4 linked regions of the Lytechinus pictus genome follow. The protein of the gene in region 1 purifies or fractionates together with the protein of each later gene. This does not show direct contact. Links are inferred from orthologs where the notes say so. Each region holds a gene or a part of one and is shown in the gene's direction. Other genes may lie near its edges.

Region 1 (7,441 bases):
ATTTGTTTTAAAAAAAAAGAATGAATATACCTTACCTGAATATTATGGTGAAGCCAATTTAAAAGGAGGTGAGACAAGTTTCAATGGAGGTTTAAAAAAAGAATAAACTGTATTATGGTGAAGCCAATTTAAAAGGAGGTGAGGCAAGTTTTAATGGAGGTTTTTAAAAAGAATAAACTGTATTATGGTGAAGCCAATTTAAAAGGAGGTGAGGCAAGTTTCAATGGCGGTTTTTAAAAAGAATAAACTGTACTACAAATTATGGTGAAGCCAATTTAAAAGGAGGTGAGGCAAGTTTCAATTGAGGTTTTTAAAAAGAATAAACTGTACTACAAATTTAAAAGGAGGCGAGGCAAGTTTCAATGGAGGTTTTTAAAAAAGAATAAACTGTACTACAAATTATGGTGAAGCCAATTTAAAAGGAGGTGAGGCAAGTTTTAATGGAGGTTTTTAAAAAGAATAAACTGTATTATGGTGAAGCCAATTTAAAAGGAGGTGAGGCAAGTTTTAATGGAGGTTTTTAAAAAGAATAAACTGTATTATGGTGAAGCCAGTTTAAAAAGAGGTGAGGCAAGTTTCAATGGAGGTTTTTAAAAAAGAATAAACTGTACTACAAATTTAAAAGGAGGCGACGCAAGTTTCAATAGAGGTTTTTAAAAAGAATAAACTGTATTACAAATTATGGTGAAGCCAATTTAAAAGGAGGTGAGGTAATTAGTTAATGGAGGTTTTTAAAAAGAATAAACTGTATTACAAGTTATGGTGAAGGCAATTTGAGAGGAGGTGAGGCATATGTCTACAATGATTTTTTTTAAAGAATGATAAGTGTAGAATATAATTCAAATGATGAAGCCATCTTGAGAGGTGCATGAGGCAAGTTTTCAATGAGGTTTCTAAAAACAATGAATAGTGAAGAGAAAGTTCGCAATTGCTTTTAATAATCCACAAAATTGTGTAGTTATTTATTTCATGCAAATTGCTATTAATTGATTATGCTCATTTGTGCATAATTAGTATACTATACCTATTCCTCTAACTCCCTAAATAAAGCTCCAAATGTTCTAATTTTTGGTTTAGAAACTCTTTGTGGTGTTCTTCGATAATGTATTTCTTGTGTTTTTACCTTTGTATTGCATTGTTATTTTTCAACGATGCTCGGACTCTCGTAACAGCATAAAATAAATCAGTTTAGTTCAACAAAACTAAAAACAATTAGGCATTCATGAATTTTGGTTGAAAACGCATATTCCATTGACGTGGTACACAAATATCACAATTTTGAGCCATTTTTGTCTGATATGCACTTACAAATTGTTTGGTAATTTTCAGAACCCAGTACCCGGGCTTCGCAAAACTGGTCTCAAAACATGCAAAAGACTTTTTTTTTTAAATCGCAGAGCTCAGAGCCCCCCCCCCCCCCCTGCGTAAATAGGTTAAGTTTGCATTAATTTTGAACTTTTCCATTCCCAAATACGTAATATCCCCTCCCCAAAAATGCAATTGTCACTGAAATGGAATATACATAATATATTTTTTAATAAGCCATATTTGCAAAATAATCATCATGTCATCCTTTGTCAACAAGAAATCTGTACATGTCCTCTGGAAGAAAATAATACCTCGGCCGCCTATTAAATTCTAAGTTTTTATTTTGTAAGTATTTTACTTAGCAATTTGGCTGGCTTATCAAAATGCTTAAACTTGTATGCAGATCAGATCTCAGAATTTACCTTATCCAAATTGAACTAAATACTAATACCCATTGTGATGTTATAAATTTTGAGCCAAATAGTGCCAAATGTGTGAATGTATTTCTGTGCGTATCATTTTTGTATATGTAGACTTAAGTCTAGTAGATGGCTGACTTACATTTAAGCAAAATATTTAGCCCAAAAAAAATGCAATTGAATACCAAAGATGGATAAGTATTTTACTTTTGCAAAATACTGAGTAAAATATACTTGAAATTGTGGCTTTAAGAGTAGCATTGAATACCGGCCCTGTTCCTCATCATCATTATCATCCTACTACCACACCAGTTTCTGCAGCACAAACTTTAACTTTCATAGGTTGAGTCCATTTCAAAGCCAACACTCTCACTTTAACTTTTTTCTCTTATAACATGACGTCCACACACTGCCAATCACATCCTTACAACACCAACTGTCAGAGGACAACAGAACTGCAGTTACCATATCATTACCCCCAAAACACCACTCAATTTTGAATTGATCCAAATGAAATATGACTGTGTTGCACAAAAAAAAGCTATGTAGTCATAGTAGATTTTATTGACTTGTACATTCATAAGGCTATGCATATATTTTGAGTAATTGTTGTGTTGTCTTCAGTGATAGTTGGTACCCACTGTGCTTATGGCCAACTTTGGTAAAGGCATACATTGAATAAACTTTTATGTACTGAAAATGATGACAGAATATATTCTAAAAAAATAACATTACAAATGCATGACAGGTAATTTCAACATGAACTATTTCACAATTTGCCAACATGACAATAAAAACTAACCTTAAAAAATAGTAGAAGCTGATGTTGGATGGAAAAGAATATTTTTGTCATACAGCTTGAAAGACATTACATATGTATGCCTCACCTCCTTTTAAATTGGCTTCACCATAATTTGTAGTACAGTTAATTCTTTTTTTAAAACCTCCATTGAAACTTGCCTCACCTCCTTTTAAATTGGCTTCACCATAATACAGTTTATTCTTTTTAAATACCTCCATTGAGGCTTGCCTCACCTCCTTTTAAATTGGCTTCACCATAATTTGTAGTACAGTTTATTCTTTTTAAAAACCTCCATTGAAACTTGCCTCACCTCCTTTCAAATTTGTAGTACAGTTTATTCTTTTTAAAAATCTCCATTAAAACTTGCCTCACCTCCTTTTAAATTGGCTTCACCATAATTTGTAGTAGTTTATTCTTTTTAAAAACGGACTTGCCTCGCCTCCTTTTAAATTGCCTTCACCATAACTTGTAATACAGTTTATTCTTTTTAAAAACCTCCATTGAAACTTGCCTCACCTCCTTTTAAATTGGCTTCACCATAATTTGTAGTACAGTTTATTCTATTTATAAACCTCCATTGAAACTTGCCTCACCTCCTTTTAAATTTGTAGTACAGTTTATTTCTTTTTAAACCTCCATTGAAACTTGCCTCACCTCCTTTTAAATTGGCTTCACCATAACTTGTAATACAGTTTATTCTTTTTAAAAACCTCCATTGAAACTTGCCTCACCTCCTTTCAAATTTGTAGTACAGTTTATTCTTTTAAAAAACCTCAATTGAAACTTGCCTCACCTCCTTTTAAATTGGCTTCACCATAATACAGTTTATTCTTTTCAAAAACCTCCATTGAGGCTTGCCTCACCTCCTTTTAAATTGGCTTCACCATAATTTGTAGTACAGTTTATTCTTTTTAAAAACCTCCATTGAAACTTGCCTCACCTCCTTTTAAATTGGCTTCACCATAATACAGTTTATTCTTTTTAAAAACCTCCATTAAAACTTGCCTCACCTCCTTTTAAATTGGCTTCACCATAATACAGTTTATTCTTTTCAAAAACCTCCATTGAGGCTTGCCTCACCTCCTTTTGAATTGGCTTCACCATAATTTGTAGTACAGTTTATTCTTTTTTAAAAACCTCCATTGAAACTTGCCTCGCCTCCTTTTAAATTTGTAGTACAGTTTATTCTTTTTAAAAACCTCAATTGAAACTTGCCTCACCTCCTTTTAAATTGGCTTCACCATAATTTGTAGTACAGTTTATTCTTTTTAAAAACCTCCATTGAAACTTGCCTCACCTCCTTTTAAATTGGCTTCACCATAATACAGTTTATTCTTTTTAAAAACCTCCATTAAAACTTGCCTCACCTCCTTTTAAATTGGCTTCACCATAATACAGTTTATTCTTTTTTAAAACCTCCATTGAAACTTGTCTCACCTCCTTTTAAATTGGCTTCACCATAATATTCAGGTAAGGTATATTCATTCTTTTTTTAAAAAAACATCATTGTTCACTTCCCTCACCTAGATCATTTGGCTATATATAATACCTTTTATTCTACACTATTCTTCCCTTTAAAAAAACCTGATTGTACTCCTGCCTCCCCTGATCTGAGTCTGACATTTGCCTCTCAACGTACTGGAAATAGATACCCTTTTTTCAATATTTTTGTGTTTTTGACACCCTTATCACGTTACGTACGTAACGTGCCCTCTCTTGAAAAATACATCCTTTTTACGTGTTTTTTTTGGTCGCGCATGGTATCCACTCGTCAATGTAAGTGGCCCCCCCGGGCGTACTGTACATAGTGTTATTTTATTATCTCTTTATATCGGAAACTTCGTTTTACCGAATTGCCATGCACTCTCTCCGACGCGTTTGAAGTCTTAGACAGCATGGCATACTACCAGCCGATGGTACACACACGCACACACACACACGTTATTTGACAACTTGTCTCTGGAGCCAAAGTTCCTCGCATATAACTACTAGTATCTGCATGCCTGCACGCAGTGTGTATTGAACACGCACGACCACGATCTAATGAATATTCATCGGCGAGACTGACGTCATTTTACGAGTCTCCTTTCAAACTTGGATCATAAGTGCCTACCGTAGTTTACTAGTCAATCGAGCGAGATACGAAGCGTAATCAGTCATGTCGTCAACAAATACCAAGAGAATCGCTTACGTTGGTGAGTTTCTAATCCATTTCCCAATGATTTTTGCTATTGATCGAAGGGACGTCTATATTTTTTCATTTATTTCATTACTTATGAAAATGAAATGGCAATATATAATTGAGAATAAATACGTGTGTACTAATTCGTAGACGTAGTCCCATATGATGGTTTGTGTGTTTGCTTGTCCTGAAAAAAACTTGAGTTTGTCCACTTGCTCACTGGCTCACTGCAACCATCCTGCCTGTGGAGTGTGGGGAATCTACAGGTAGAACCACTCATTCAATGAACAAGGTTATGATATAACCTAGTGGTTGTCAGTTATATCTCCATGTCATGTGTGTGGCAAAATAAGGATGGCAATGTTTGGCTTATTTTCTCTTTTTCTTTGGGACAAATGCTTGATTTTTTTTACACCGACAGTTTCCATTGCACCTATTCGTCATACAACTTGGCCCTTAAGTAAATTTGATTCTTAAAATTATTTTTTTCTTAATTAAAAATAGAGATTAAAAAATGAAAATTTTCTTGCCATATTATTATTTTCCACCAATAGAGGGCGTGCACAAAAATATGCCCCAAATTCAAGTTTTTGAGCGCTCTAGTGAATACAAATTATTCCCAAGTTACAAATGAAAAAGAAATTGCAACTGTATGGAAATTAGTAATTTTGGTCACAAAAGTGAAATTTTAATCATTTTTTAAAGTGTGTGCTCTGTACAGCATTGGCATGCCATAGTCCAACCTGTAGATTCCCCACAGGCAGGGTGGTTGCAGTGAACAAGTGGGTAGAACTAGTCTATGGTATGCCAATGCTGTACATAGCACATACTTAAAAAAATCATTAAAATATCACTTTTGTGACCAAAATTACTAATTTTCATACAGTTGCAATTTATTTTTCATTAGTAACGTGGGAATAATTGTTTTTTTTCACCAGAGTGCTCAAAAACTTGAATTTTGAGCATATTTTTGTGTAAGCCCTCTATTGGTGGAAAGTAACTAACATGGCAAGAAATTTTTCATTTTTCAATCTCTATTTTTGATTAAGAAAAAATGATTTAAAGAATCAAATTTACATAAGAGCCAAGTTATATGATGAATAGCTGTATTGGAAACTGACAGTGTAAAAAAAACAAGCATTTGTCCCATAGAAAAAGAGAAAATAATCCAAAATTGCCACTAGTGGCACTACCTTATTTTTGCCACACAACATGGAGATGTAACTGAGAACAAGGTTATATCATAACCTTGTTAATTGAATGAGTGAGTTTGTCAAGATTTTTTTAGCAAGGACCACAAAATTTAGAAAGCTCTTAATTCTTCATTTAAAAACACATAAATTAAAAATGATCTTCAAGGCTAAAACATAATAAAAATTACTTAAAAGTTACACAAATTCCCTATAACTTCTGGAAAAATAGCAAACTAGATTGTGGTTATGTGCCAAAAAAATACACAGAAGAAATGGTCCCTCACCATGCTCGCTACCCTGGGACTGTGTTGAGCCTCTCGGAGGAGCCATGGAAACATGTCACATTGATAGACCATCAACTCGGTCTCGGCTGCCAGAAAATGTTAAGATACCGCTAAACGAACCACTCAAAATATAATATGCAAGAACACTTGGGGCAAATTCACGCATGACTATTTGTGCACATGCCCAACACGGCAACAGCACAATCTAACGCCCATGTACCTCGAGCTAAGTTCGTGCAGGCTCCACTCCACTTCACTACCACTACACTACGGTCCACCTACCCGAACTTCGAGACCGTGAACTCTATCTGATATTCAGCAAGAAATTAAATCCACACTGCTGCACTCGACCCAGGTGAGGTAAATGGGTACCGGCAGGAAGTAATTCCTCAAAAAGCCGTGCGCACCAGAATTGGTAGACTAGCTTAGCCGGGGTAATATAGGAGCGCCTTGAGCACCTAGCAAGGTGGATACGTGCGCTATACAAATGAAATCCTATATTATTAATATTATTATTAGTTGTGATAAGGCTACATTCCAAACCCATAGCAATTTGTTAATCATGTATCAACTATCATTTCTTCGGATTCTAGGAGGATTGGCAGAAGAGGTAACAGAGAAGACGCTTCATGCAGCCTTCATTCCTTTTGGCGATATCATGGACATACAAATCCCCCTTGACTATGAGACTGAAAAGCACAGAGGTTTTGCTTTTGTAGAGTTTGAGTTTGCAGAGGTAAAGCTCCTGTATTTATTCTTTTATTTAATTACCTACATGTAACAGTTTCTCTACCTTTGAGTTCTCACCACCAAGCGTCTCACCACTGATGAGACTACTATGGCGTGAAATAGGCCCAAAACGAACAATAACCACATCGCTTTTTAATCAGAATTATGTATTGGTAAACTGAGGAATTTGAACCAAGTGTACCGTACATTTGTAGGGTTAGATCAGCTTAAAGTGATTCAGAGACGGATGTGTGTATTTTTAAAGAATTACCAGTACCGTAAGGGCACTAGTATTCAACCCGTTTGGAGAGTTTCCTCAAATATATAGAAATATAAAATTTACCTGAATTTCAGACCCGTCTTATTTTCAAGAGCAAATGCTGGTTATTCTTTTTCCGTTATTCTTTTTCCGTTATTTTTTTCTTCAACCCGTCGACTGTGTGCGCGGGCGATCGAATTATACGGCGATGGTGTTTGGCACTAGTATTTAACCCGTCGGCACTAGTATTCAACCTAGCAATGAA
Region 2 (7,255 bases), on another chromosome or scaffold:
ATGGTTCAATCTTTGTTAAAGTGAGAGCAGACTGAAATACCGCTGTAAATGTGGCCCCTCATTGAGTTTGTGTCTCAAAATTTACCTTTTCAAAAACCTAGAAATAATAGAGATTAAATCAGCCTGGAATTTCACTTGTAAAGAGAAACAAAATGTTTTGACGGAAATGTATTTATTTGGCTACTTGGTAACAATGCAACAGTGTCTTGTTGCATAAAAAGTTACTATTATGGTACCATTCAATGGGAACTTTGCTGAAATCCTTGATTTTGATTGGCTGTTGATCAGCGTCATCATGGTAATTACCATTGGATGGTAACTTTCATGCAACGGGACCCAGGTAGTGAATGTAATAGTGCGTTATTATTCAAGTGAGACGATATCAGAAGACTAAGCTTCTCAGAATGTTGCAGTGTGGGTAAACTTTAAAGCATTGATTTGAGTAGTTGAGGACTTGATGTGGCGCTATACAAGCATGCTGGTTTGAACTGGCTTTAATATAATAATATAATTTTGCATTGCTAAGAATGGAATATACTGTATATATGTATTTTTTTCTTTTGAAAAGATAGGTAGTAAACCTATGGCAGCTGTGTTTAATGGCTTTGCTGAAAAAAATGAAACTTTACGAATAACAGGGTTTCATTATACATCTATCCTCAATAATAATGATGATAATAATAATAATAGGCATTTAAATAGCGCCAGCTATCTACAAATAATCTGTTCCGGGGTGCATTATGTATAATTATTATTACCCCCAGCTTTAGCTTGAGCTGCCTTTCAGCGCTCAGTACATTCAAGGTATTGATTCTACTGGGTGCCCAGTCACCTCACCTGGGTTGAGTGCAGCACAATGAGGGCAAATTTCTTGCTGAAAGAAAACACACCTTGATTGGGATTCGAACCCACGTCCCTCAGATTGAAAGACGAGATTCGTAACCACTAGAGTACCACGCCCCCACATCTTCCATTCTTTCACTACAGCTCCTTGATTTACATGCATTCTTCATTAAATGATAGAAGGATGTATTAGGTAATGTATCAGAAAAAAATCAAAGTGAAAAGAATACTGATATATATCACAACTCTTTAAAGGTGAAACATATGTCCACATAATTTGGAAAATGCTAGGTTAAACAAGTTAAAGTATCCTCAATAACAGGTATTTTACAAGAGAGGCTAAATGCTTTAAAATGATGAACTTACCTAATGATCTCTTTAGCACTCCCATGGGCAAATGCAGGTTTGGCCACAAAGTAATGTAGAAACAGTGTGTTCAAGGGCTGTGAACAAAATAACACACACACTTCCCTAATGAAGTATCATCATGTCTTGCAGATAACTGGACATATTTCACATTTAACTTTATTATAAAAAAAAAGGATTATTGGCAAATGACTCGAAACATAATGCTTCTGTTAACCACTGGCACTTGGACATTTCACGAATATGATCATCAATTCAAAGCACATACACATTTCAGACACATTCCCAATATATATATCTAATATATAAATGGTTTCATTTCTTTGAGAAAGATCTGGATATCCATCATTCACATCATCATCAATACATGTATATAACTGTAAGCACACATAAACCAAATAGTGAAGAATTTTTTTTGTGAGATAAATTTGCTTGAAGTAGGCACTGGTATAATGAGATAAAACAGATGCTTAATGAACCATTCTACATCAGGCAATTTTGTTTTATTTTGGGGGCTACTTTTTTTAATGAATTTCTAATTCTGCAACCTTGGATTAGCTTTATTATTGCAATGAATGGAGATTTCCAAGGCTCTTTTCTGAGTTTCTAGGCCTCTTTTGAGCTTTTTGGTGGCAAAATCGCCTCAAGCCCCCGTGTAATTTTCTCCATTTTACACCACGTATGATGAACTTACTGTGCATGCTTCTGTATCATAGTATGTATTGAGCCATTGTTGCCATTCCCCGTGATCTACAGAATCCACGTTAGGATAGTCAAAGAACGCAGCATGGGCAAGGATGTCTTCTCTTTCATTGTTGAGGGTCACTGCCAGGACTGCTTTTTCACTGTATGTGAAGCAAAAATGTAATGTGAAACAAGAATGTAAGTAAATAAAGTATAATTCCTGTCTGACATCTTCACAAAATAATGAAATATGTGAATGCAAGTTGTGTTCAGAAATTCAAATGTATACAAGATTTCATTCATTTTGTTCCATTTTCTCTCAGATTATTCCCATTCTTTTCAAGGCCATGAAATTTTACACCATATTTTATAATTTCTTTTATTTTAATGGACTTCAGGTACTGGTACATGTACAAGATAACACATTCAAAGCTTGGTCTGTTGAAGACTATTATGGAGCAATAGATCAATGAGCTCAATGATCGGATATTTTACTGTACATATAATAGGTAGTAGTAAACAGATAATTGTCTTTCTGTAGAATTCTTTATCAACATTGACATTCTCAGACTTTCCCCATCAAGGCTATCAGTTTCAATATTGATATTGATTCCCAAGAAAAGCCATGACTGATGATATTTCTTAGTTATTGTGTGTGGCTTCTAATAAAACCCAATGCATTGTAATAAAGCTTTATTCCTTGTAGCACTTTGAGTGTCAGCACCTTGGAAGAAAGTAAACAAACATGTAAACCTACCGATCGAAACTGAATGAACAAAATAAAAAAATCACTGAATTTATTTAACATGATACAATGTGATAGCACTATACAAAAACATACATCATCATTGTTATTATTTTTATTATTACATTCATAAATGTGAAATGCTTACATGATATTCACAACATCCACCAATCCGAACTGTGGCTGAGTTGATTTGGTAACCAGCTTCAGGATATTTGGAGCATCAAGTGATTCTGTTCGTCTAGCATTGATCACTTCGGTCGGTCCATCTGCTGACTGGACAACAGTAGCCATTTTTACTTTTTCCTGCAAGACTAAAGAGATTCAGATTGATTACCAGGTGATAGCTGTGTAGGCCTATTCTATGTGTCACTGAGAAAGGAACATAAGTCTTAGAAATAATTCTAGTCTATTATGAGAATGAGGAAACCCATCGTTATTTTTAGTGAACACACGTTGTCCACAGCTTCAAGAATTTACTAACAAAAAAAGTTAAATATTAGAGATACGAACGAGTGAAATTAAACTTCGATGCTGACCCACCGAAACAGGGCATGATCACGCCAACCAAGTCAAAGAACATAATTTGGATCTGAATAAATATAACATCGACTCCGACATGAGCTGCTTACGTACTGGATCATGATGGATGCTACTTCAGGCGATAGTTCGTATATAGGCTCCACTACGCTTCACTAGCTACTGCTACCCTCCGCTATATTACCTGAAGGTTCAGGTACATGTAACTGTTAGGTGTAGCGGAGGGTAGCGGTAGTGAAGACTGAAGTGCAACTTAGTGGAGCCTACACGAACCATCGCCCGAGGTAGATCTAGACAGTTGACGGTTGACGGCTGACGGATGCCAATGTTTTTTGCCAATATTGGCCAAATTGGGGGATTTTTTTTTTTTGAAAAGAACTTTCTCAACATTAAAGTTTAACTGATGATAATTTCATGATTTTGAACCTCCCCTCCCGGCTCCCCTGCCCCGCCCCCAGTCGCTCTTCTTGACCGGTTTAAGGGATCTTAACTTGGTTGAGCTCTGCGGCCTTCTCAAGTTAGGTCCTTGGCCTGGGTGGGAGTCGCACGATCACGACACTCCAATGGCATAGACAGTCCAGACACCAGCAGCGGCGGGAAGCAAGCACACGCGCGGTCACGGGCCCCGACTGGCACTCTCTGAGACTGTCGACGCGACGTCCACGGTCGGTTAATTCAAACATTCCATTCTTTCACAAGGTTTTTATTCACATTTATTAATATTCAAAATCACGCATACACAAACAGAAATCAATACACAAGGACATTATATTGAATTCATTATATGAAATAACATACACACCCTTATTCTTAACTTCTACAAAATTGTGTTCGATCCGTGAAAAAAAATTAAAGGGTGAGATCTAGCATATTTTTAGCGGCGGTAGCTCTATGGCAACAAAACTCTTAATTATGTGACTAAAAAAATACAACTACATATTTAAAAAATAATAAAATCTTGTACAAAAAATTAAATTTATCTTTTTTAATATTTTTATGGCTACGATTTAGAGGTTATGAATGCATGTAAGAGTTATGAATATTTTAATACCTTTTTAGTTTTTTATTTACTCGAACAAGCCATATTTCAAAGCGCCATCTCCGTCTAACTGCTTTTTGTAGATTCGCTTCCGAGGAAAAAAAACTGAAAAAACTTGAAACTAATCGACGATTTTCATGGTCTTGACGCTCATACTATCATAAACATGGCTTCTTCTAGCAAAAGTAAAGTTCCCAAAGTTGCGAAGGTAAGTTTCCTTTAAATTGCTTCATTCAATAATAACTAAATAATTGATTGCAATTTCTCCAAAAAATATAACACGCTATGAATGTGAACAAAGATCAGTTGTTATTCCGGTCAGGATAAAGTTAGGGTAAACTCGTATCGTCATTGATGTTTTTCTTTAATTTACATGTAACGTTAGAGTAAAGTGGCCAACAACAAAAAATAATTGAATCAAATAAAAATCGTGTTTATTTCCTTAGTATAAATGTTGAATATTTCCATTAAAAAATAAAAATGCAAATTGAAAAAATGATGATGGTTAACAGAATTGCATAATTATTTAGGATGGGGTAGCCAGGCGGCTTCAAAGTTAGAGAGTAAAAATCATTTACTAACGTAAGGTCACTCTCGTACGAAGCCAGGCCTTCTATCCCATAGACCCACACAATGGAAGCCAAAACCTGAAACTTTCACCCCCGAGATTTCTACTTTCCTTCTAAAAGATCTAGCCTTCTAGGCCTAGCTCTAATTCTAAATCATGTATGATGGGGGGACCTAAAAGCTACGCACTTTGTTTTCAAACAATAAAAACTATCCCAATTTTAATATTTCAACAAATATCTTTCACTAATTTGTGGCAAACATTCTAAAGATCATTAACCAAGAAGAAAATATCGCAAAACTCACTAATACGAAAATCCCGCCGTGTTTTCCGAACCGGTATTTTATAGATGGCAAATATAGCGATCTTCAACGCTTATATATAAGCGTCGAAATTTGTAGCCATCTCCTTGTATTAGTCTATATTATACGACGTGTCAAATTGTAGCGAACTAGTTCGCTATTTCCAGATCTCCTCTATATATATATACACGACGGGAAATTGTAGCGTGTAGCGAACTAGTTCGCTATTTTCCAGATCTCCTGTATATACATACGATGGGAAATTGTAGCGAACTAGTTCGCTATTTTCCAGATCTCCTCTATATATATATACACGACGGGAAATTGTAGCGAACTAGTTCGCTATTTTCCAGATCTCCTATATATACATACGATGGGAAATTGTAGCGAACTAGTTCGCTATTTTCCAGATCTCCTCTTAACGACGGGAAATTGTAGCGAACTAGTTCGCTATTTTCCAGATCTCCTCTATATACATACGATGGGAAATTGTAGCGAACTAGTTCGCTATTTTCCAATTCTCCTCTATGTATACGATGGGAAATTGTAGCGAACTAGTTCGCTATTTTCCAGATCTCCTCTATATATATATACACGACGGGAAATTGTAGCGAACTAGTTCGCTATTTTCCAGATCTCCTGTATATACATACGATGGGAAATTGTAGCGAACTAGTTCGCTATTTTCCAGATCTCCTCTTAACGACGGGAAATTGTAGCGAACTAGTTCGCTATTTTCCAGATCTCCTCTATATACATACGATGGGAAATTGTAGCGAACTAGTTCGCTATTTTCCAGATCTCCTCTATATACATACGACGGGAAATTGTAGCGAACTAGTTCGCTACAATTTCCCGTCGTGTATATATATATAGAGGAGATCTGGAAAATAGCGAACTAGTTCGCTACAATTTCCCATCGTATACATAGAGGAGAATTGGAAAATAGCGAACTAGTTCGCTACAATTTCCCATCGTATGTATATAGAGGAGATCTGGAAAATAGCGAACTAGTTCGCTACAATTTCCCGTCGTTAAGAGGAGATCTGGAAAATAGCGAACTAGTTCGCTACAATTTCCCATCGTATGTATATATAGGAGATCTGGAAAATAGCGAACTAGTTCGCTACAATTTCCCGTCGTGTATATATATATACAGGAGATCTGGAAAATAGCGAACTAGTTCGCTACAATTTCCCATCGTATGTATATACAGGAGATCTGGAAAATAGCGAACTAGTTCGCTACAATTTCCCGTCGTGTATATATATATATAGAGGAGATCTGGAAATAGCGAACTAGTTCGCTACAATTTCCCGTCGTATGTATATAGAGGAGATCTGGAAAATAGCGAACTAGTTCGCTACAATTTCCCGTCGTGTATATATATATAGAGGAGATCTGGAAATAGCGAACTAGTTCGCTACAATTTGACACGTCGTATAATATAGACTAATACAAGGAGATGGCTACAAATTTCGACGCTTATATATAAGCGTTTAAGATCGCTATATTTGCCATCTTATAATTTCCCTTTCCGAACACCTTGATTTCGCCACCCGATGTAGAAGGGGTCCTAAAGCTACGCACTCGATTTATCATGCAAAAAAATAGTATTTCCTGTGCCTCAATTTCTAGAATATATTCATAATATTTTAGGATAAAATGAAATTTAAGTGAATATAACTCTAAAATTCCAAAAAGTTTTTGGTTTTCTCTGCATTTAGAGATTTACTGCAGCCTCTGTAGAAGAAAATGAATAGGAATCGTTCGTCACACTGCAGTCACAGTTCCACACACAGAGTGCGCATTTGCCATTAAAAACTGCATGCGCGATTAGTGGTGCATAGCTTTAGGACCCGCGTAGCTTTAGGACCCCCTACCATACATTGGATAAAACTTCATTTCCGACATTTCTACACTCTCGTTGTTATTTTTAAAACAAGAATTCATCAAAAAAATGAAAAAATATTGTGAAAAGACGGAAGAGACTTGCCCGATGTTTACGCCGCCATCTTGTTTCTTATTGTACTTCCCCAACGTTACGCGACGCTCGCGTCCGTAACGTTGGGGAAGTACAAATTTTACTGCACACAGCAAAATTTTTTGCCCTTTTCACCGCATTCACAACACCCAAAAATGGTCATGGTTTTGAGAGAAAAATCAAA
Region 3 (7,546 bases), on another chromosome or scaffold:
ACTTTAGAGTGATTCGCCGTGTGGGTTAGACCCAGCCATGGCACCTCCCATTGACTTTCCCAACATCAATCGTAAGAGTACGCCCTCTAGTGTCATTATTACTATATGGACAGGTCGTACAAAGCATGCTGTCATTGGTGTAATGGCAATGCCCCCCTGGGATATCTTCGTTAATCCAATACTAGGTCTAGTGCAAAGGCCTGGACTAAAAAGAAACTGTGTGTAGGTGATATAGAAGAGCAAATTCAACATGACAGAAGAATGACAGTGCAAGAATTCAGTATTGAATGTAACAAAGATTCACAATAAGAATAGTTTACAAACTCTTACCTTTTGAGGGATGATTAGTCTGAAGAAAATATGTTACGTATCGTCACTATGAGCAAAAAGCTTTGACCGCCTCCATCTTCGAATTCCTTTGAGTACTTGTGCAATCATTTCTCAGTGACGTAAATCCGGTTCCATAATGAGTACGCACGTGGATGTGGTAGTGTGATACCAATAGGGCTTTAATTGGGGTTTGGGGGGCACCCCAAATATAAAGATTCATTATGTTTTGAGAAGTAAAATATAATCCTTTCAAGCATATCTCGATTATTTATGTATTTCCTTCTGATGAATGCTCAGAAATAATGGGAAATGTGTTCCTCGCTAAATATTTAGTGAACTTGCGAGCGAGCAAAGTGAGCGCAAACATTTAGATTGCGTGCTTTTGGAACAAAATGGGTATAAAAGTGACTGAAAAGGCCTGTCTGATAAATCTACTGTGCAAGAAAAATAATAAAAAATAAATAAATTAATTAATTTATTAATGAAATAAATAAATTAATAAATAAAGAAAAAATAATAAATAATTGATAAATAAGTGCAAAAATAAAATAAGAATAAAAAATAAATGAAATAAATGATATTTGTTTATAATAATAACAATAATAATTTTTTTTAATGAATGCTATAAGGTATAAGAGTATATTTCATAAATATATATATGTACATATATATATATATTTTTTCATTCTTACCATTCATAGAAGGAAGGAACAAGTTACTTCCTCCCCCACACGAGTAGAACGGAGAGTTGTGACAACGAAGGGCATGGGAGGGGGGGGGTTATGGTGAGGGGTAGAGGGTAGGGGGACACATGCCATTGGGTTGGAAGGGGGTTTGTATTGTTTTGTTTTGCTTCTGTTTTTTTTTCTTGCTTCTTTGCTATTTTCAAACTCCTTGATATAAAAAAAAAAAAAAGGCTCGGGGGGGGGGGGGGGGGTAGATAGGGTTCAGGTCCAAGACTGATGTTGTTATAGGATATGAAATATTTGAGGAATGAGGCCAAGGTGTTTGGGGGATTCCAAAAGTGACAAAGCCATCAAATCATGTATTTTTTTAATACTTTGTTCGTAGTCATTCGTCTTATTTTCTCATTCTGTTTTTTAAAATACTTTTTCGCCCCCTCCTTAAAATGGATGGGGGGAAGTGGCAATGTGAATTAGACCAAGTGACAATCTCCTTTTTCATCTGATATTACTTTGATTATTCCTCATTTACGCATGAGTGAGCAAAAACAATTTGAAGAAAGGATACCAAAAAGTCATTTGGCGGGGGGTATCTGAATTTCAAAAAGAAATTCACATGCCTAAAAAAGTTCAATATCTGCTCTTTTATTTGATACCTTTATCACAAAAAATGGTCGAGAACAACCAAAAAATTACACGGGGGCGGCGGGCGAATTCGCCCCGGAAAGTCCAAAAAGAGCCCCAGAAAAGGACTAAAAACATTCACACGAGGGCGACTGCAAAACTCATAATCGCCCCCGTCAACACTGTATATTTCACAGTGGCAAATTGTCCATAGACTGTGTACAACGAATAGACCGTCTCGGCTCAGCGAATCGGAGACCGCTGATTGGCCAATCGCGCAGATCACGTCATGACTACGTGGTCGCCAAAATAATTCCTTCGGACTGCGTGCGAAAGTATCGATAGCGATAACGATATCCGGTCACATTGTCTACGCGGGAAATGGTCTTGGTTCGTGATCGGATCGCTCCAGTATCGATCGAAAATTATCGAGACTCGGCAATTTCATGCATATTCACGCGACGCTCCGGATCCGAAACCCGGAAATCAATTGACTTTGTACACGTTGCGATAGACTCTACAAACTCCACGATGCTATATCAACGCTAATTCGTAAGATTTTGACCGAAAATCAAGAAGTAATCGAAATTCGCTTACCTGTTCGGTATCGGTGAGAAAATAGATCCTCCGAGAATACCTTTCATAATTCATATAAATTATAGGAAAGTGAAATTCTAGGTCGATTTTGGTGCGAGGTGATAGAGTATTGTACACTTGTTTTGGTGGAATACTGTGTGGGGCTATGGAAGGCTTGCACTGCGCATGCTTACTATATTTTCATTCATAAATTGGCTCTCGGCAGTGGCTGGATGACGTCATGTAATAAGCAAAATATACACGCCCGCTAGCGTTGAACGCACCGCATGTACAGTACATCTTGTTAAAGCAGAGCCTGCAGCAGAGCAGCCCTGCACTGCTGACCAGCATCCCTTCAATGTGACACACACACACACACACACACAGACACACACACACACACAAACGCAAAAAAGCCGCGAAATAGCTCCAGAAATTGTAGCCCTGGAAAGTGGAAAAAGAGCCCTGGAAAATAAAAAAGTAGCCCTGGAAAATTTTTAAGTTTCTCCAAAAAGAGCCCTGGAAAGAAAAAAAGTAATTTTTTGGTTGGTCGAGAAGTAAAAAAGTTATGTTCCCTCGAAACTATGCTTGTATTTCCATAATTTCATTAGATAAACGTGTTTTCACCGGTTTCCCCACAGAAGCTATCGCATGGTTAACAAAAGACTTAATGCATGGCTGATCGTCAACAAAACGGAGTGTCGAGTGAGTTTGAACGCTAGCCTGTAAAACCTCTTCATTTTATGAAATTATTGAAATTCAAGCCTTATTTCAAATAACCAGAACTTTGTTATTTCTTGACCATTTTCTGTAATAGAGGTATCAAATTAAAGAGCAGATATTGAACTTTTTAAAAATGGGGTTTTCGTTTTGAAACCCAGATACAGCCCGCCAAATGACTTTTAGGTATCCCCTCTTCAAATTGTTTTTGCTCACTCATTTGTGAATGAGAAATAATCTAAGTAATTCCAGATGAAAGAGGAGATTCTAAGCTTTACAATGGTAGGTCATTTGTCTATTGTATTTGTGATTAAGTTATGATAAATCTCGGTTTCGTTTTTTGTGGGACGCACTGTATATATACATGTATATATACTGTTTATTCCTCCACCACACTGACTCACACACCCTCGCACACACTTTTCAAAATATTCAGATGAAAGTATTTGAATAATATACTGAGTTAAATCATATTTTATATCTTATCTGTAACTCGACGGTCCTGAAGCAAAAACCGCTGCGACATTATGCGTTGCGACATGTGACATTATGCGTTGACACTTTGCTGCGACATTATGCGTTGCGACATGTGACGTTATGCGTTAGAAAAACTACGACATTATGCGTTGACTGCGACATGCGTCGGACGCTCTTGGCATAAAGTCGCAATCTGTGACATTATGCGTTGGTGCGACATTATTTTAATGTCACATACACATTTTGAGGGGTTATAAAGTGAATAATGGGGGCAAATTCGGTTTCAAATGTAACTTAATTTGTGTTGTTTTTATCACCACACACTTTCCGAACATTTTACACTGTCATGGTTGAGCGAGCACACTCAAAAACTTAGGAATTAATACTCTTTTTACTGCATAAATGTATTCTTTTCCTAACAATTTCTCAGGATCATTTGAATTTATAGACCAATCAGTGGTGGATCCAGAAGTTGAAAGTGGGGAGGTGCCGAGAAATTGGGGGAGGGGAGCCACTTACATTTTCCAATTTTAACATGTTTTAACAAGTTACATAGGATACTACCATAAACCCCTATGAGAAAAAAAAATGTGCTCACTCAACCATGAACATACATTATCAAAATTTTGTGTGGAGTGGCTAAATGATGGATAGTAAAACAACGTTAACACCATAAAATTCACAAAAAACAACCTTTGCCCAACTTTGTATTAACACTATCTGAAAAACGACTCTTGTGACTTTAAAAAATTGTCATTTTTAATTCAATCTTTGATTACTCGTGTATGACCCAACCGATCAATCTCATTTTCCCCCAGGAGTTGCTTAGTGAGTGTTAAAAACCACCTACGAAATATTATATCTCAAAAATTATTCTGTTCAAAAGTTATAGCATTTTGATTTAGGGGGGACTTTTTTTTTGTGTGTATAGAACAGGCAATATAATTTATGAAGGCTTGTGTGTCTAACATTTAAAATATTTTTGAAAATGAGGGGAAAATGAGGTTAGTGGAATGAAACTAAAGGTTTGAATAATGGGCTAGAATTGCCAACAATATTAAATGTTATTAAAAACAATTTATGTACTCACTTTTTACCTATTTTTCTGTATTGATTGTATTTTACAGATGAGTGGCAGTCAGAAAAGGAAGAGTTATGCTCCTACAGTGGAGCAGCTTAATGCAGACTTTTTGACACAGCTTGGCAGTCGATTTTGGGCTCCAAATAGTCCTACACCACACTTGGCCTATGATCCAAAGGTAGGCATATGGAGATAAATAAATCCAAAATAGTAGATGATTGCTGTGCAGAACTCTTCTTCATTTTGTTTTGATAAAAATAATCCATTGTACCAGAATGTGTATGAATCAGGAATGATGTATGATACATTTTATTGGTTCTTACCACCCATTCCCTGAGATTATAAACTAAATTAAGGTACTGGATTTTAATAAAGAGATGTAAACTGAAGACAACAAGTGAAATCTATTATTCCTACCTATAAGAAGTGGACATTCATACAAAGGAGAAGAAACAGAGGTAAATAAATGAACTCATAATGACTATCATTGGTGTTCTGTTTGTTTATAAGTTGAAAGCAGCAAGAGTATTCATACTTAAATGATTCAGATATTATTTGTGCTTGAAGATTATTTTATTCACGTAAAATAAATGACAGTATGGACAGTCTTTTTATGCCATTTTTGTAATTTTCCATTCATATTGTAATAATTTCAAACCCTTCTCGCAAAATGAATATCTTTGAAAACCCTTCAAAATGTTTAAGAAAATGCTTCTGATTTTAAATGTCAAGATGTATGTATTCTTTTCTTTTATTCACTAGGTGATTGAAGATGTTTACAAGAAAGAACTCTTGAAGAACAAGTAAGATCAAAATGACACTAAGGGAATTTTGTTAAAAGGTTAATAGAATGCGATACAAGCGATATGATAGCATTTTAGGGATGAAGGAGACAAGCAGTCAATTACATAATTGTAAATGATTGCATGATTTATAATAGATTTTGAGATTTTAAATGGATTTTTTTCTGATTTCACTTGCAATTGATTGCAATTTAAAAGTTTCTTGTAATGCCCCAAATTGGAAAAAAATGTTCCATTAAAATTTTGATTATCTTTGTTATTTTCAGTATTGTTAAAAGTCTTAACCAATTACCACTTCACTTGTCCAAGCACTGAAATAAAAACTGTAATTCCTTTGACACTGACTATAAAATGCATATTCAAAATTTCTTGCCTATTCTGTTAATATATGCACTTTCTGTTTCTTGTACATGTTATTTTTTTAAATTTTAATTTGTTTCTTAGTCTACTATCATTTTGTTCTTTGTATAATTTGTATTTTTTATTTGTTATGTTATTTTGTTTCAGTATGAGAGAACCTTCAAAACGCTCAAGTTTCTTGAATTGCCACCTGTGTTTAATGTTATATGTTTTGAAATTGCAATATATGTAATAAATAAAATGAATTTAATTGAATCTCATTTAAAACAAATGATGTGAAAAAAGTAGTGTTTAAGGTTTACCTTACTCATGTATTGGTTGTGTTAAAGAGACGTCTGAGTTTGATTGAATATACATAAAAATAATTAGAAGATGATAAGAAAATTATAAAGGTGTGATCAATAAAAAACAAGTTGTCACCTGTGTGATGTAGAATGCTCAATTTATTTGTACCCCCTCAATTTTCTTTGCACAATTCTAATGGTTTAAACATTTGTTTACATGCAGGTTTGCTGCGCGTCGTATCATGGTGCTCGAGTTCAGCCAATATCTTGAAAACTACTTATGGCCAAACTATGACTCTGAAAAGGTAAGACACAATTGATGGAAATGAAAACTTGTTTTTACAATAATAGTATGCTGTGTGAATTTTTTTTTACTTGCCGAGATGTGTCAAATATACGTTAAAGGCCTTTCTACACAAATAATGGTTTATTAAAACTCTAAAATGAATTGTTGTACATACTACAGAGCTTCCAAGTCTCCCGGATCCTGCGGGAGAATACTGGATTGCGATCCAATCTCCCGTTCTCCCGACCTCATGCCAAAATCTCCTGGATAATCAGGATTTTTAGCTGTTAAATTGCGAAATTCATACAAAAGACTGTTTTACGAGTCTAGCATGTTCAACTCCCTAACACCCACATGGAACCTCCTTATCACATTTTCATTTTACCCAGTAACTTTTACCAGTTTTTGTATAATCGTACATTGATTTCCAATGTAAATGAAGATAATTTTACTGAACGACTGGTGAAGTATTCTAACAAGCCATTTTATTTCCGGGTTCTGCAATGTGTGTGATGAAAACACTTCAGCGGTACTCCATGCACATGGCCCCCGATGCGCCCCGGTGCGGCTCCAGCTGGCCGCGCTGCGCCAGGAAGCTACGATAAGGGAAGTTCACGAGCACTGAGAGGCATTTTTCGTAAGCTTGTGTGCGCTTTATTCGAGCTGAAACTGTGGATCAACGATGGGATTAACAAGTGGATTACTTTTACACCCCGACTTTCAGTTTCAGGAAAAATTTTATTGACAATCCTAAAGAACCAGAAGCAAAGTGGAGATTTTTTCGCCTACTTTCACTTGGGTTGATCGGATACGAACATTTTCTCTTTCGTGAGTGAGCTAGCTTGGTGCTGGCTGGCTGAGCTGTGCGAAGCACGCCCCGCCCCGATTTATCCACACTACAATCGCATCGCCAGTGACCATGGAGATCATGGAGATGGAGTCATCCAAGACCAAGACGACAAAATACGTTTTGAAGTATAAAGATAATTTTCAAGCGGAATGGGACTGTGTGACAATTTTCACAGGAATCCCTCAGAGACTTTAAACAGTCCACATATAAAGCTCATTTACCATGTTTACCACTACTGCAGCCCCTTCCCTCTCTGGCCAATTAAAGGTATTTTCATGTTGAATGCATTCTTTTATAAATTATTTAAAAAATCTACTGTGTTGCCTGAAGTGTATATTTAGTCAATGACAATTCATGAATTCTCTCTAATGTGCATTTAATCTATCAGAATTTTTTTTGATGGTTTAGACAGCTGTCAGTTACTATCAAATGTTGTTTCTTAATGTGTTTTGCTACCCAAAACTCCCATCCG
Region 4 (7,451 bases), on another chromosome or scaffold:
AATAAATTAAAATTGCATAACTCACCTAAAATAAATGATACAATATGAAACGCAAAAGCGGGACCTCTGATCTTTGATTTAACAATAAAACCAGCATGCACGGATCATCAGTAGCATTCTTGATTGCTATCTCAGACATACACCATATACACTCCGTGGATATTCATCGTGTGACGTCACGAAAATAATACAGTTGCATCCACGGGTCCACGGAAGAACAATAAAGTGTTCAGTAATATATATTGACGTGGATAAAATTTGAAACAATACGGCAGACGCTTTTCCCTCCACCCCTCTCGTCTCTCGTACCTTCTATCGCATACAGGAGGTATGAACTCTCCAATAGAGTTTAGATTTCGATGATGCTACGTCGGGCAAACGTATTCCTTTGAAAATACATATTAAACATTGAAGATTCAAAGTGGACCAACTACTAAACTTATAGATTTTAGTTGGACAGTAACCTGCTTGGGCCTTGTATACTTATGATTTATTCCACAACTGAAATGAAACATGTTCATAAGTATTTTTTATTGAAGTCCCGGTAACATAAAGATATACCATTATTGCACACTTCATACAGCGTTTCTAATTGGTTGTTAATGTTTATATTGACCGATAGTTGCATAATATAGTGCATTGATCTCGATTGACTAGAGTACTTTCCCGAATTCATTGCACCCTTCTTCTTTCCATGAACTGCCTATACATTGCTATATGTCAGTGTCTTCTTTAAACCAGCATGTGTCTTGGGCCAAGATTTAGGTTTATATTTATCTGTTTATAATCCAGACATGTTGCCAAATATATTGACAAGGTCGCACCCATCATGCCCATGACTTGCAATGGGTTCAATTGAGGAGGCCTATCCAGGAACAGACTTTATATATAGTTCATTGTATACGGATCATAATTAGCGTTGTTGAATACTAGTAATTATATGGCTTATATAGGGAGATGCTGCAACTAAACGACAAACCAGCTGCAGGGGGAAAGGTTATTGGTTTTTTTTTTAATGAATGGTATAAAAAAAGATTTAAAATCATATCGCAGCGATAAACCCGTTCCAGATTGGCTATTGACTACCGGGCCGCTCCTCTGATGTGCTTATAAAACGAAAAAGATAAGAAAAGAAGAAGATGATAATGAAATAATAGCTTTCTAATACGCGTTGTATGCGGTATCAAAGCTCACAAGAGTTGTCTTAAAACTATTTTCATTTATAATTCCATACCAACTTCTTGGTCTATTGATTTCATAAATGATCATGATGATATACAATACCAACGTAAAAAATACATATAATAGGTACATTATCAGAAAATGATCGAAAGGTTTTTTTTTGCAAGTACGTTGAATGTCATGCAGAAAGTGATTTTGCAGGGGGGGGATTTTATTATTCATATTTTTTTGTTGCTGGGACTCATTACAATTCCAATAATTCATCTTATCTTATTAATTTACAATTCAATATAGTTTTATGTATTTTAACGCATAGCTTCCTTTAATAGAGACTGATTATTTGTTCTCAATGCTTTTTTTAACGAGACGACATAAGTCACATGTCGCTGAAAAGTAAAAACATAAAAGAGAGCAAGTTAAACGCAAATTTTAAGTTCCATTAAAAGGATGTAAAATAATAGTTTTCGTTTCATTATCTCTTCTTCTTTTTATTATCACAGGTAATATCATGAAAGGTCGCCGGCCACTCCTCCCTACAGCACACCCCCTGAATTTCATTGTAAATTACTTTGGCAAAGTCATTTACTGAAAGCACCCAAATTTGGGCGTGGCCCATCGGTGCACCCCCACTCCCCTTATTAATCTTGCTATGCTATTGGATGCTATAAATCAAATTATAAGTACAAAAAGTTCGGGAGACGAAATCTTATCTTGATGTAATTAAAGGTTGTGCCTCGAATAAATCGGCCAGTTATAATGAGATAGGGGAATTGCTTATTTCTCCCCCCAGTCTTTCCTTCCGCCTTCGTTTGGATGATTGATCAGAATTCGAATTAAATATTTCAGCCCATAGGGGCATGGCGACGGCGACTGGGGGAAAAGCATTCTTCTACCCTTGAAAATATTGATACGACTTGGTTTCCGCTAATTGCGGTTTTTATGTGAGTTTAATCATTTTCTCCTAAATCCATCGTTAAATAATTATAGCTACAATCCTTTGAAGGATAATGTGCAGGCCCCTATTCATAATAATTTGGGATTTCATTTCCTCAGGTAACTGAATAAAGCCCATCAGATAAAATATGATATGAATGTAGTTATGAGCATGTCGGGAGATCGAATATTTGTAATGTACATTTTAGAAAGAGAGAAAAAGGGAAGGAAGAATGAATATAAAATATAAGATGAGAAAACTGAGTTGTACCACTTAAGAAAGTGGAGCGTCGTGGCCCAGTGGGTTGGTCTTCTGACTTTGAAACAGATGGTCGTGGGTTCGAATCCCAGCCATGGCGTAATTTCCTTCAGCAAGAAATTCATCCACATTGTCCTGCACTCAACCCAGGTGAGGTGAATGGGTACATGGCAGGAATTTATTCCTTGAAATGCGTGTGCGCTGTAATCTTAGTAATTACGGCTGCCAAGCTACAGCTGGGGTAATAATACCCAAGTCCTTTGGAAGCGCATTGAGACATTATTCATAATGTGATATGCGCTATACAAGAACTGTATATTATTATTATTATTATTAGAAAGATATTACGTTCAATTTAGCCCCCCCCCCCCAGAAAGTCCTGGCGCCCCTTCATGTGTTCCAAGAACTTTAGAGTCAGTGGCGTACCTAGGATTTTTCACAGGGGGGCAAAACCGTCCGCCAAAAAATTTGACAAGCCAAGCCAAAAAAAAAAAAAAAAAAAAAAAAAGGTCTTCAATCACAAATGAAAAAAAAAAATTGACGAGCAAAAAAAAAAAAAAAAAAAAAAAGAAAAAGGTCTTCAATCACAAATGAAGGATTTCGTACCAGAAAAAAAAATTTGACAAGCAAAAAAAAAAAAAAAAAAAAAAGGTCTTCAATCCCAAATGAAGGATTTCGTACCAGAAAAAAATTTGACAAGCAAAAAAAAAAAAAAAAGAAGGTCTTCAAGCTCGTTAGGGGGGCCAATAAAGGTCTTCAAGTTCGTCAGGGGGGGCAAAAAAGGTCTTTCAAGCTCGTCAGGGGGGCGGTGATACGTCCTTTGCATGGGTTGTGGCTCGTCAGGGGGGCAGACTGCCCCCTCTGCCCCCCCCCCCCGTAGGTACGCTAGTGTTTAGAGTAAAAAGTTGTTCTAGTAGTTGGTCCTTAACAATCAAACATATACCGATTCATGCAAATAAGATATAATTTAACAAAATCACACAATTTTGTGACACTTTTTTTTACTCCAAAATTGGTTTGGCTAATCGATAAAAGGTAATTACTTATAAATCGGATCTTTAAAGATTTCGCGTCAAAATGTCGCGTTGTTGTTGCTTCTTTGGTTGTGTGTGTGTGTGTTTTTTGTTTGTTTGTTTTTTCTTTCTCTCTCCTTCTTTTCCTTCTTATGCATTGTTTTAGGGAGACGGGGGAGGGTGAAGTGTGGATGAGTGTGTGTTTTCTTTGTGTGTTTCTTTTTTGATGTAATGGTATTGTAAAGGGGGAATCTAGTCTAACTTGAGATTTTCTATAGATTATGAGTATGTCAGTGTTTTATAATTACATTCAGAGAGAATCTAGAACATGTAAAATATTTTATTGCATTACTATTCAATTCGTGATTATAAATTGTTAAATAAATATGTACAGATTGATTTTAAGTCTACTTGTGGAATAATCAATTTAAATTGTTTATGTATAGATTTTGATGCAGCTATGTTAATGATTTCATGTTATTCATTATTTTCACATATAGAAAATGTGGAAGAAGTGAAATATGACTTTAAACATGTTAAACAGAATAGGGGCTAGGTGTAAAAAGTTTCGTGGATACGTGATTTCCTGTTTTCAAAATTAAAAAAGGGGATTTTTTGGGGTTCACCTTGTAATCCATTTTCTTATTTTTTATTATCCTAAGTTAATCTTCCGCGTAAAAGACACAAATCGTACAATGTAAATACAAAACTTGAATAATCAAACAATTTATAAGTCATTATTGGTTAGGGAGTGGGTGTTCGATGATTTACATGCGCCGCCGTTGCCCCCCCCCCCCCCACCCGTTGTTGTTTAGGGGGCAAGTGCCCCTCATAAGAAAAAAAAAAAGAGATCTAAAATTAAACTTTTTTTTTTTTTTGAGGGGGTGAAATGGGATTTACTTTATTATGTTACGTACATCTTCTTCGAGCATAATCGAGCTATGTAATCCCTTGTCTACCTTTGTTATCCAAATGGGGGCTTGCCAAAATTTTTCAATCAAATCATATTTTATGGACGAAACATAATGAGGAAGTCTGTACTAGTGAGCAACCATATGAGAGCGAACTAGTCGGGCCGAATTTTAGTGCAGAAGAATTGCGTCCACACGACTTTTTCGTGTATTAAAAATCGACGATTTGATAACGCCGAAGACAAAGTGTTGAGAGTTGGAGAAGTATCCTCTTATCAAGTTTTCATTTCAATTTATCCACAAGCTTTTATCGTTCCAAGTACGTTTCTTCATCAAGAAATAGACCTTCATCATGAGGACATAATTCCGGTGAGTAATGTTTTATGGTTCAGTCAATGTAGTGCTAACAAAAATCTTAAGACTGCACTGTTATCCACCGGGCCTCCCTGCCAGCTGTGCCCCATCGCGACGGGGACAGTGCGGGTCGGCACGCGATCGCGATGGCGCCCCTGCCTTCAACTTAAGTTGGAGCTGGACAGAGGTCAGAGCTCTGTTTCCGAGCTTGGCATTTTCGATTGTTTCACTGAGTTGAATGAGTGAGTGATGTGATGTAACACCGAGAGTGAATTTGTATGTCAGTACATGAATTTGGCATTATCGTGATCCAAGTCCCCGCCCCCGGTGACTCGGATCCACGGACAATTATTTTTCACAATGTAAAACTAAAAGTAAAACATGTCCTAAAACGGGCCATATACTCCTAACTAGTAACTAAATTATGCCTTGACTGCGTCGGTGCATGGCCAGGGGTTGGTGTGCGTAGCCAGGAGGCTCCTAGAGAGTAAAAATCATTTACTAATGACGTCCCAGTGCATGCAGTGGGGGGTAGACAGGAATAACCGTCGTTTCTGGGGATTTATTCAACAATTTCTGACATTTTACTGTAATCCCCATTTACCGACGGTAGGGTGTACGTGTGGGCTCGCATGTGTTCTCATTCCCTCCCTTTTGTCAATTCACAGTCCAAAGTTTGATGTAATTTTACACATCGAATTTACAATCTAAAGATGTATAAACAACAAACTTTTAATTCATGATATTACAACATTTAAATACTTTAAACGATATAGATGAAAAAGGCATGAAAAATATACTTTACCGATGTTTAATTGGGTTGAACACGATAAAAATGGTCAAAATGGCAGCCAAACTATAAAATATTTACAAACGAACGTCAACAATCACGAATGTGATATCGATATTGCTTTCGATATTATACGATCTGCTCCATAAGCGAACGAAACCGAAGATAAACGATACTAGTTATACTAGTACTAGTACTAGTTATAATCGCGATATATCGATTCGAGACATTAAGTTAATAACGATAATGACATCATTCAAGATGGCAACTTGCAAGAAAAACCGTCAGGTCAGGTGAAAATGTCTTAGATGACAGATTTCTCAATCATCCAGAGGATTTTTTCAATAACTCCGGCCCAAGGTATGCAATTACTTAAGTTATTTATATTTCCCTGATAATGGAAACCATGAAACTTTAAATTTTGCTTAAAAAACAGTTTTAAATTGCGATCTATAAAACGCTAGTTCACTATACGTTGGCTGTAGGTACGGGGCCCCATCCCCTTCAGTCTATGTATGGTGAGTGGAGCCAACGTAGTTCAGCGGAACAATCAAAATACAGAGACTGAAGCTTTTGGTCTAAGTGGGGGGGTACTCGACCTAAAAGTGGTAGGTATGCATGTGCAGCAGGCGAGACAAAAAACGGGGGCTCTGGAGCGGGCTTGTCCTCGGAATGGGCTTCGGAACTACAAATGTTTGTGAAAACGGGGATCCTTGGAACGGGTCAACTGCATGTGAGTGCGTATGCATCCCTATGGAACGGGCATATGTCCATGCAGCTAGCCCGGCGGCGCGGCACGGGGCTCGCGCAGAGCTAGAGGCGATGGAACAGCGCTCTGCGGCTGCTTTTCACCAAAATTGCAGCTCATTGTAGCGGATCAATGCGGCCGTAACAGCGTAACGAAAAATATGCGAAGCTTTGGAGCTGATTTCTTCTTTTTTTTCGATAAGAAGAAAATACTATGCTTTGGAGCGGCTTTCTATGCTCTTTTTCTCAATAAGATAAAAATGCTATGCCTTGGAACGGAAATTTGAGTGTAAAAATGGGGGTCCCTCCGCGGCACATACCCATATCGCATTATATACTGAGTGCCCCCCTCCCCCCGGGAATAACTTACTGTACGCTTACTCTCCACGGAGCCAGGAATTCCATCCCATTCATGTCCATATATAGACAGCTGGCAGCCGTCTGTTTCGAGGAGCTTTTTAAACACGTCTTATTTCTCCTTGTAGACAGACGGCTCGCTATTGCGCAGCTGCCATTAGGGGGTAAACAATGCAAACTCCCCCCGACGGGGCTCATAGGTTTTTTTTCTTTATTTCATAAAAATATATAAAAAGAAATGGGCCAAAATAAAGATTATTATTCCTTTTTGGCCTGAAATGCACCAAAACGGGAAAAAACAGTGATTTTGGCTGTCGCGCAACTCCCATGGCCAGGTGGGTGTTTCATAAAGCTGTTCGTAAAGTTACGAATGACTTTACGCACGACTGGAACATGTTCTTAGGTCATTTATTACATAAAGATATCACATGGCATAAGAAAGGATCACCAGTCGCGCGTAAAGTCTTTCGTATCTTACAAACAGCTTTATGAAATACCCACCTGATTTATCCGAAATTAATACATAAACATATGGCCATTGAGTCCCTGTACAGATCGAGTTAGAACTTCGGTCTCTGTAATTGGTGAGTGGAGCCAACGGAGTTCAGCTGAACAACCAATAAAACGGAGAACGAAGCTTTTGGTCTAGTCCGTGTACCACCAAAAATCCTGAAACTTTCGCCCCGATTTCTACTTTCCTTCTAAAAGATCTAGCCCTAAATCATGTAAATGGGATACAACTTAATTTCTGACATTTCTACGCTATCGATTTCATTTTTAAACAAGAATTCATTGTTCTTCGCCAATGTTACGGACGCATGCGTCGGTAACGTTGGCGCATGAATATTCATGAGTATTCCAAAAGATCGAGATCTCATAAATGAATATGCAAATGACGAAACTTT

The links.
Region 2: the proteins of peptidyl-prolyl cis-trans isomerase E-like (region 1) and crooked neck-like protein 1 purify together in Homo sapiens (affinity purification with mass spectrometry; 3 studies listed by BioGRID and IntAct, counting the BioPlex papers as one, with this or other methods). This does not show direct contact. The link is inferred for Lytechinus pictus from reciprocal best matches to the Homo sapiens genes PPIE and CRNKL1.
Region 3: the proteins of peptidyl-prolyl cis-trans isomerase E-like (region 1) and RNA helicase aquarius-like purify together in Homo sapiens (affinity purification with mass spectrometry; 5 studies listed by BioGRID and IntAct, counting the BioPlex papers as one, with this or other methods). This does not show direct contact. The link is inferred for Lytechinus pictus from reciprocal best matches to the Homo sapiens genes PPIE and AQR.
Region 4: the proteins of peptidyl-prolyl cis-trans isomerase E-like (region 1) and ATP-dependent RNA helicase DHX8-like purify together in Homo sapiens (affinity purification with mass spectrometry; 3 studies listed by BioGRID and IntAct, counting the BioPlex papers as one, with this or other methods). This does not show direct contact. The link is inferred for Lytechinus pictus from reciprocal best matches to the Homo sapiens genes PPIE and DHX8.

The regions. Positions count from the first base shown.
Region 1 is NC_087261.1:25,313,717-25,321,157, forward strand, and holds the start of peptidyl-prolyl cis-trans isomerase E-like, read left to right. Parts: upstream 1-4,429; 5' UTR 4,430-4,687; coding exon 4,688-4,724; intron 4,725-6,781; coding exon 6,782-6,924; intron 6,925-7,441. UniProt on the Homo sapiens protein: Involved in pre-mRNA splicing as component of the spliceosome. Combines RNA-binding and PPIase activities.
Region 2 is NC_087251.1:43,100,317-43,107,571, reverse strand, and holds the start of crooked neck-like protein 1, read left to right. Parts: upstream 1-4,247; 5' UTR 4,248-4,383; coding exon 4,384-4,425; intron 4,426-7,255. Other genes in the region: cilia- and flagella-associated protein 61-like, read right to left, coding at 1,210-1,286, 1,904-2,054, 2,787-2,932. UniProt on the Homo sapiens protein: Involved in pre-mRNA splicing process. As a component of the minor spliceosome, involved in the splicing of U12-type introns in pre-mRNAs.
Region 3 is NC_087251.1:14,776,844-14,784,389, reverse strand, and holds the start of RNA helicase aquarius-like, read left to right. Parts: upstream 1-4,535; 5' UTR 4,536-4,537; coding exon 4,538-4,669; intron 4,670-5,253; coding exon 5,254-5,294; intron 5,295-6,161; coding exon 6,162-6,243; intron 6,244-7,546.
Region 4 is NC_087257.1:18,521,881-18,529,331, reverse strand, and holds the start of ATP-dependent RNA helicase DHX8-like, read left to right. Parts: upstream 1-4,440; 5' UTR 4,441-4,667; intron 4,668-7,451.